Linked DNA regions of Canis lupus familiaris. The protein of the gene in region 1 interacts with the protein of each later gene in a pairwise test. Links are inferred from orthologs where the notes say so. Each region holds a gene or a part of one and is shown in the gene's direction. Other genes may lie near its edges.

Evidence for each region.
Region 2: the proteins of ZHX1 (region 1) and ZMYND11 interact in a two-hybrid assay, tested with the Homo sapiens proteins (2 studies listed by BioGRID and IntAct). The link is inferred for Canis lupus familiaris from reciprocal best matches to the Homo sapiens genes ZHX1 and ZMYND11.

What each region holds. Positions count from the first base shown.
Region 1 is NC_049234.1:22,064,288-22,068,191, reverse strand, and holds the start of ZHX1 (zinc fingers and homeoboxes protein 1), read left to right. Parts: upstream 1-1,658; 5' UTR 1,659-1,829; intron 1,830-3,904. UniProt on the Homo sapiens protein: Acts as a transcriptional repressor. Increases DNMT3B-mediated repressive transcriptional activity when DNMT3B is tethered to DNA. May link molecule between DNMT3B and other co-repressor proteins.
Region 2 is NC_049223.1:33,552,243-33,556,046, reverse strand, and holds part of ZMYND11 (zinc finger MYND domain-containing protein 11), read left to right. Parts: intron 1-396; coding exon 397-604; intron 605-827; coding exon 828-896; intron 897-1,616; coding exon 1,617-1,889; intron 1,890-2,168; coding exon 2,169-2,354; intron 2,355-3,804. UniProt on the Homo sapiens protein: Chromatin reader that specifically recognizes and binds histone H3.3 trimethylated at 'Lys-36' (H3.3K36me3) and regulates RNA polymerase II elongation. Does not bind other histone H3 subtypes (H3.1 or H3.2).

The sequences.
Region 1 (3,904 bases):
GGTGCTCAAAAACCTAGCTGTTAAATGTATGAACAAAAGAATGCATTTCTGTAACTGAAGCATTTCCTTTCCACAGAAAGAAGTCCTAAGGGCACGGTACTGCCCCCTAGGGGGGGTCCTGAAATTTTATGGGGGCAGTTTTTGTTCAGTAGTTCTCGTATTGGGGCCAGAGTGTTTACACAGTGCAAAACATATTTTATTGTTTTCCTTGATATTAGTATAGTATTTTCGAACTTTCTCTTTTTCCACCTTTATAACATTACACTGGTTTATTGAATTTATTTGTGTAGTTTACATTATCTGTGAATTTAGCTCTAGGAGAGTGAAGTGGTGTTACATTTATGTTGTAAATACGGGGATGTTGAGTATGGTAGGGTTGAGTACTCTGCTTATAAGATCATCAAGCTTTGCTTGCTTCTGCTTCCCCAAGTTCTAGGATTCTAAGACGAAACATACAAATAAAGAAGCTGGTGTACATTGATTTCAACAATCAGGCTTTCACTTTAAGCAACTGCACGTTTTAGGATTAATGTGGCTCAGGGAAGCATTGCTGTCAAAGCACAGAGGGTCCAGCGTCCAGGCTCATGAATCTGTGCAGAGCGGCTTGGAGAGTGAAACATTTCTCATCCCTTTGGTTTGCACGTTTCATAATTTTGAAAGTGATGGTGGAGGAGTGGTGAGGAGGGGCGGTGACGCCTGGGTGCTTGGCTGGCCCCCCTCTCTGCAGGACTAGTGCCCATGGAAGCTGTCCGGGTTTGAAGAGCTCGGCTGGAAAAGGAAGCCTTTCAGCAGAGCGGCTCGTAAGAGGGGAAAGGAGGGTTCCAGGGGAGCAAAGGGTGGCTCCGTCTTCAACGACAGTTGGAAGCGAGGCTGAACTGAACTTTCGGTGTCAGCGGGTGGAGCTGCGGTTTGTGGTGGAGCGGGGACCCGCAGGCGAGAAGAGGCGGGGCGGAGGTTGACAGAAGGTGGGGCCTCGGCCAGGCGGGGCTTCTTTTTGACAGTGGGCGGGGATTCCGATGAAGGGGCGGGGCTTGGGCGGACGCCCCCGGGAGACGGGGCTTACGCTGACAACGGGCGTTTCTTGAGGTCCGGCGGTGACAGTAGCAAGGCGGAGCGCCCAGAGGGCAGGCCCACAAGTGACAGGAGGAGGGAACCGACCCGAGTTAAGACGAGGCTTCTGTTGATAGCGCAAGGGGCGGGGCCGCTCCGCGATCCGGAGAGGGCGGGCCTTCTGCTGACAGGGGGCGGGGCCAGCGCGACCAGGGGGCGGGGCCGCTCCGCGATCCGGAGTGGGCGGGCCTTCTGCTGACAGGGGGCGGGGCCACCGCGGGCAAGGGGCGGGGCCGCTCCATGATCCGGAGTGGGCGGGCCTTCTGCTGACAGGGGGCGGGGCCACCGCGGGCAAGGGGCGGGGCTTCTGTTGACAGAGGGGCGGGGCGGCGCCCTACCTCCCAGTGCGCCAATCCTGAGGGTAGAGGCAGGGGTCGGACCCCAGGGGAGCCGCGGGGTCCGGGAGCCGAGAGCCCGGCGCGGAGCGGGGTGGGGGCGCGCGGGGACGGCGTGCGCGCGGGAGGGCCCCGCCTCGGCCGGCTCCTTCCCTCCCTCCCCGCTCCCGGTCGGCCGCTGGGGCGCGCGCCTCGCCTCGCACCCCCACCCCCCGACCCTCCGCGCTCCGCGGGGCCCGCCGAGCTGCCGAGGCCGTGTGCCGGCCCGCCGAGCGGTTCCGGGTGTAGGGTTCACAGGTCAGAGTTGACTCCCTGAAAAGTGCAGCCGGTTTGAAATGCAAGATGGCGGCGGCGGGGCGCTGAGAGGCGCGGCGGCCCCTGCAGGTAGCGGCGCGAGCGGGCTCCGGGACGAGCGGGCCGGGACGCCCGGGGGACCGCGCGGGGTGGGGGCGCGGGGAACCGGCAGCGCGGGCCGGCCGGGGGAAGGCGGCTCCGGGGCAGGGACCCCGGGGGCTCCGGGCGCCGGCGGCGGCGGCGGCGGCGGCGGCTGGCGAGGAGGACGCGGCGCGGGGCGCCTGAGGGGGAGGGACCCCGCCTGCCTGCCGGCCTCGGGGAGTCGCCGCCGAGGGACGGCCCCTGAGGTTCCCTCGCGCCCTCGGGGTGTCTGCGGCCGTGGAGGGAGCTGGCGGGGGGCTCTGGGAGGAGTCATGTCAGCCCCCGTTCTTACGGGAGCACCGAGCAACTTGGGACTGGAGCGGAGTGAAGACGCGGCCGCCGGGGCGGGGGGGCGCCGCGGGGCGCGGGGAGGGTCCTGGCGGAGGTCGGGAGGCCCGCCCCGCGGGGGCGCGCGCCGGCTGGTGGGTGCTGCCCCCGGGGCGGCGAGCAGAGCCCCCCTTGCGGGGCCGAGCGCAGTCGGCGTCGGAGCCCCCGGGCAACGCGCCGCGGGAGGGCTGCCCCCCACTTGACGGAAGGCTCGGCGCCCATCTCGGGGCCAGGCCGTGCCCGCCCCTGGGGGGCAAGACTCGGAGTCGAGTCCCGACGAGCTCTCTTCCGTTTAGAGGCACACTGGCACTCCGAAGTTCATTCAAGAGAATGGAAGCGGTCCCCGTCCCCTTGCAGGAGGGAGACGAGGGAGGCCCCACCGGGCACTCGCCCGAGCCTCGGGGCCTAACGGGAACAGCCTCGCAGTCTCAGCGAGGGAGGAAGGGCTGCGGAGGGGGTGCGAGGGGACAAGGCGCGGGGGCTGAGGGCGCGAGGAGCCCTGGCGGATGATGCCCTTCCCCTGGGGGTTTACCCTGAAGTTGTGGGTAGAGGGACTTGGAATTCTTTGTTCCGTGCACCTCCCTCCACCTCTCCCCGCTGTAGGTAACAGTAAGGAGAGAGCAGAACCCCCACTGGAAGAGAAGGCTCCGTTGGATATCCTAAGTTTAGGTTATAGCGCTGAGCGGAGCGGCCAGCTGTGACCGGCTCCGGGGAGAGACTGGGCGGGGGGGGGGGGGGGGGTCGAGGAGTGCGGTGCAGAGCTGGGCAGAGTGCGGATCCTACAGCGCTGTTCTGTCGTCACCCCCCCCCCCACCCCGAGCTGAAAACAGAAGGAGCTCATCTTTAAGGGGCGGGGGGGGGGGGATGTAAAAAAAAAAAGGCTGATAGTTTGTAATGTGATTAGGTGGGGATTGCATGTAACTTGAAAAAGCAGTTCTCTTGGAGGTTGAGAATATAACAGAAAAGGGAGGAAAATCACAGGATTGGGAAATAGAGTTCACAGGGAGGAAGCAGCAGCTTTCCCTCCAGGACTAGTGCCTATTCGTGGGTTTGGACTGTGTGTGTGTGTGTGTGTGTGTGTGTGTGTGTGTGCGCGCGCGCGCGCCTTCCCTACGGTAGTGCGCCTTTAGACTTGTTGGTGTTGGTCATTGCATCTCAGTCTTTGTCTGGAAGCTTTAACTTGTCTTACACGGTGTTACATGGATTGTCCTTGTTTCTGAGAAATTATCCCCCCAAAAGTCGTTATGTTTTTATGCCATCAGTGAGGATGAACGGGAGTTGGTTTTCACACGGCCTTAGTATATCCATAGAGTTTAAACAATTTTCTTAAGGAGCAATTCTGACTCTTGATTTCAGGCAAAAGAAATGTGGGTGCTGCCAAAGACAATAATGCATCACAGGATGTAAAAGGGCCCTCATGAATATTTTTTCCTCCTAATCTGTCTCTCCTTACTCCAAGCATTAGGGCCAAGCTAACTAATTTTACGCAAAGTAAAATGTAAAGTGTTGGGTTCGTTCAATATAGAAATGATAGCATTTCACTTAAGAGTGAGTCTTTTGTAGAAGTACCTCTTCAAATGCTTTATGTAATGATCAGGATTAAAATGAGAAAAAAATCAAGTAAGACTTGGGTACCTGATGACAGCTATGATTCATACAGATTTCTTGAACCATTCTAGTATTTTTAAAAGAGCTTT
Region 2 (3,804 bases), on another chromosome or scaffold:
CAGTCAGGGTGCCTGGGAGACAACGACGTGCTGGAGCCGCTATGTGGTGGGTCACGGTGTCGGGGCCCTGCTGCTTGTACGGATCTGTGTGTACGCTCGGCTCTGCCGGCCTCCGCCCCAGCCAGGTGTGCGTGCCTCTGCAGCAGGAGGGCCGGGAGCCGCGGGGGCTGTGGCTGGGCTGCCCGGAGCCCAGAGCCCACAGTGGGGCCGGTGCGTTGGCCAGTCTCTCCCGCTCCGGTTCTGACCGTCCTCACTGCTTTCTCCTCGGTGAGCGTCTGCGTTGCAGCCGTCCCCCACAGCCTCGGGGCGAGGAATCGCCCCAGGTCCTACTTTGTACTGGATAGAGTCTACTAGCGTTCCGGAAATTTCTAACTGTGCCTCTGGTGTTCCTTGAAGGGCATGGATCCCTTCTGAAAACATACAGGACATCACAGTCAACGTTCACCGGCTGCACGTGAAGCGCAGCATGGGCTGGAAGAAGGCTTGTGACGAGCTAGAGCTGCATCAGCGCTTCCTTCGTGAAGGGAGGTTCTGGAAGTCCAAGAACGAGGACCGGGGAGAGGAGGAGGCGGAGTCCAGCATCTCGTCTACCAGTAATGAGCAGGTGGGTGTCCCTGTGAGAGGCGGCTGTGCACACAGTTGACGTGCCCTTCCCTTCTACAAACGTTGGTACAAAACCCACCCACGGGCCACCCGCAGCCTGGTCCCGAGCCCACCAGGGCCGAGGCTGCAAGGATTTGGGGGAGCTGAGCACAGGAGGGAACAGGTTGCTCACTGTTGTCTGTAGTGTCTGCAGTAACACGCTCTTACTTGTGTGATGCCCGCAGCTAAAGGTCACGCAAGAACCAAGAGCAAAGAAAGGACGACGTAATCAAAGTGTGGAACCCAAAAAGGAAGTAAGTTGCCCGCCCTGCAGTGTCCAGGTGGGCGGCTGTAGGAAGTGCCTCCCTGTCGCGGTCACGACGGTCCGCCCCAGGGGTGCCGTCCATACCCTCGGCCCAGCTGGAACCCCACCGTCTGCCCGCCCGCCCGCAGTGCCAGAAGAACACGCACCAACCTGGAGTCTGCGTCGCACGGGGAGGGCGCTTTGCTGCACTTCCTGGAGCTCTCCTAGTTACTCAGCATTATGAGAAGCGGAGCATTTACCCGATCCTTCAGTTAGGTCAACGTTGAAAAACTGGAGGAAAGTGTGGCTACGCTCCGCCTCTCAAAGTTGTATGTCCATGCTCTAAAACCAGGTACTCATCTGGTGACCCATGCTCAGGACATCTGTTAATGAATCTGGTCCACAGCAGCGACTAAATTGATAAGGGTTTTACGTCTTATATGGTATTTTTCTTTCGTCTGTCTGGAAAGCAAAGACTGTAGTGTTCATATGCCACAAAATGAAGTTCCTGTTTTAAATTCTTGCTATTCATTGCGAGAAGTTTTGGGGGCTTTTTTTTTGTTTTTGGTTTAGTTGTGGTAAACTACACATGACACAATTGACCATCTCAATTACATGTTTTTTAACAGTAGTTCATTACCCTAGTTTTATCCTCCTAGAGCTCGTTCTGGAACCAGGACTACTAACAGGCGGCTTCGTGTCGCGTCTCAGCACTGTCCTTGCTCTGCAGGAACCAGAGCCGGAAACGGAAGCCGTGAGTTCCAGCCAGGAGATCCCCACCATGCCTCAGCCAATCGAAAAGGTGTCTGTGTCAACTCAGACCAAGAAGTTAAGTGCCTCTTCACCACGAATGCTGCATCGAAGCACCCAGACCACCAGCGACGGAGTGTGTCAAAGCATGTGCCACGACAAATACACCAAGATTTTCAATGACTTTAAAGACCGAATGAAGTCTGACCACAAACGAGAAACGGAAAGAGTTGTGCGAGAAGCTCTGGAAAAGGTAAGGCCACCTGGAGAACCCTGAGCGTGACGGGAGCGCTCCGGTAGTGCGTAGGCAGCTTCTCTTGGGCATCAGCCAGGCAGCTCCTTTTTAAAACTAGAACCATCATATAATACCTTTTATAACGTTTGATTGCTAGTAAACCTTGTTTTCCTTCACCTAAGACGTGTACTGCTCTCAATGAAACACAGGGAGGGGGTCCCCCCTTTCCGTAGGAACTGTGGAGTGAGGTGTGTGCATCGCGGGCGGGCCAGTCACGAGCTAATGTTCTCATTCCAGCTGCGCTCCGAAATGGAGGAAGAGAAGCGTCAAGCTGTAAATAAAGCTGTAGCCAATATGCAGGGTGAGATGGACAGGAAATGTAAGCAAGTAAAGGAGAAGTGTAAAGAAGAATTTGTAGAAGAAATCAAGAAGCTAGCAACACAGCACAAACAACTGATTTCTCAGACCAAGAAGAAGCAGTGGGTAAGTACGGTTTGTTCTCAGAGTGTGACCCATGAACATGTTCCACCCAGTGTCATGGTGGTGAAATGGTCTGCGATGCAAGTCACCTCAGAGAGACCTACGTGGTTATGCCAAGTTTATACCTGAAATAAGCTCAAATGTGAAATGATCAGCTCTAGATGGGTTTTATATTTTTACTAGAAGTCCTCTCCCCGGTGAGCTCCAGGACCCCCGTACTGAGTACCGCTCAGGATTACTTCGCTGAGTCTGTGAACCCTCAGACGTGTAGTTACTGTGTCTGATTTACGGGACTACATCCATGCACGCGCCGTCCCCTGAGGTTGGCCTGCTGACTCCTCATGGCCAGGGCTCAGTCTCTGGAACCTGGTGTCAGCAGTCGCGACAGCAAATTAAGGATTTTCAGATCATGCTGCACAGCGTTTATATGTTAGTCTTTTCACTCGATTTACTATTCGATGGTGACGTCTCATGAGCCTCTGACTCCACGTAGAATCTGACACACGGTTCCTTTCTCACCATGTCCTGTTGGCGGCTCTTCCCTAGATTGGGAGCTCGGACCACATCTCAGCTAACTGGTGGGGGAAACGTTTGTGAGTCTTCATGGGATCCAGACTACCTTTTCTGAAGCAGGTCTTTCCACGTCCAGTAGGTGTTCCCTCAGGAAAGTGACCACTACAAATACCGTGATAGAGAAAGAAAAGGGAACTTAGCATCTAATTCAGAACTTGATAGGAAAAGCAGATGAGTAACGAGATAAATACCGCTAGACAGGAATTAAGGTGTACTCCAGATAATCCCCCGCGCCAGGCCCTGGCGCCCTGTCATTCTGTCTCATGCAAAGACAAGAGAAAGCTAGAAAGTGGGCCCTAGACTTATAAGGTTACTGAGGAATCAAAGAAATGAGAGGAGAAGGCTGTAATAGGGAAAGGGAACGCTGCTCGTCTAGCATTCCCCAGCCGTGAGACTGCTGAAGCCCTGCTGGTGGGTCTGCTTCCCTGCCTCGTCCCCCACGTCAGTACCGCCCTGCGGCGCCCATCACTGCCAACACTCTGTGTGTCTCCAGCTTGTCGCAGCTCCAGGGTTTCTTCTTTCTCGGGGACAGACAGTACTCCACTCATCATCATCTTTCTTCACCCATGCCCTGGTGGACGCGGAGGCCGTGCTTTGCTGCACGTGCGGCAGTGAGCGTGGGGCTGCTCACATCTTTGCAGCATCCCAATTTCACTTACTTTGGGCAGATACCCCGGTAGGGAGATTGTGGGGGTCGGAGGGTAGCTCTATTTTTAACTTCTTGAGGACCCTCCATACTGGTTTCCACAGTAGCTGCACCAATTTGCAGTCCTCCCCACGGTGCAAGAGGGTTCCTCTTTCTTTCCATCCTCGCCAACACCTGCTGTTTCCTGTCTTGTTGATTCTAGCCACTCTCACTGGTGTGAGGTAGGATCTCATT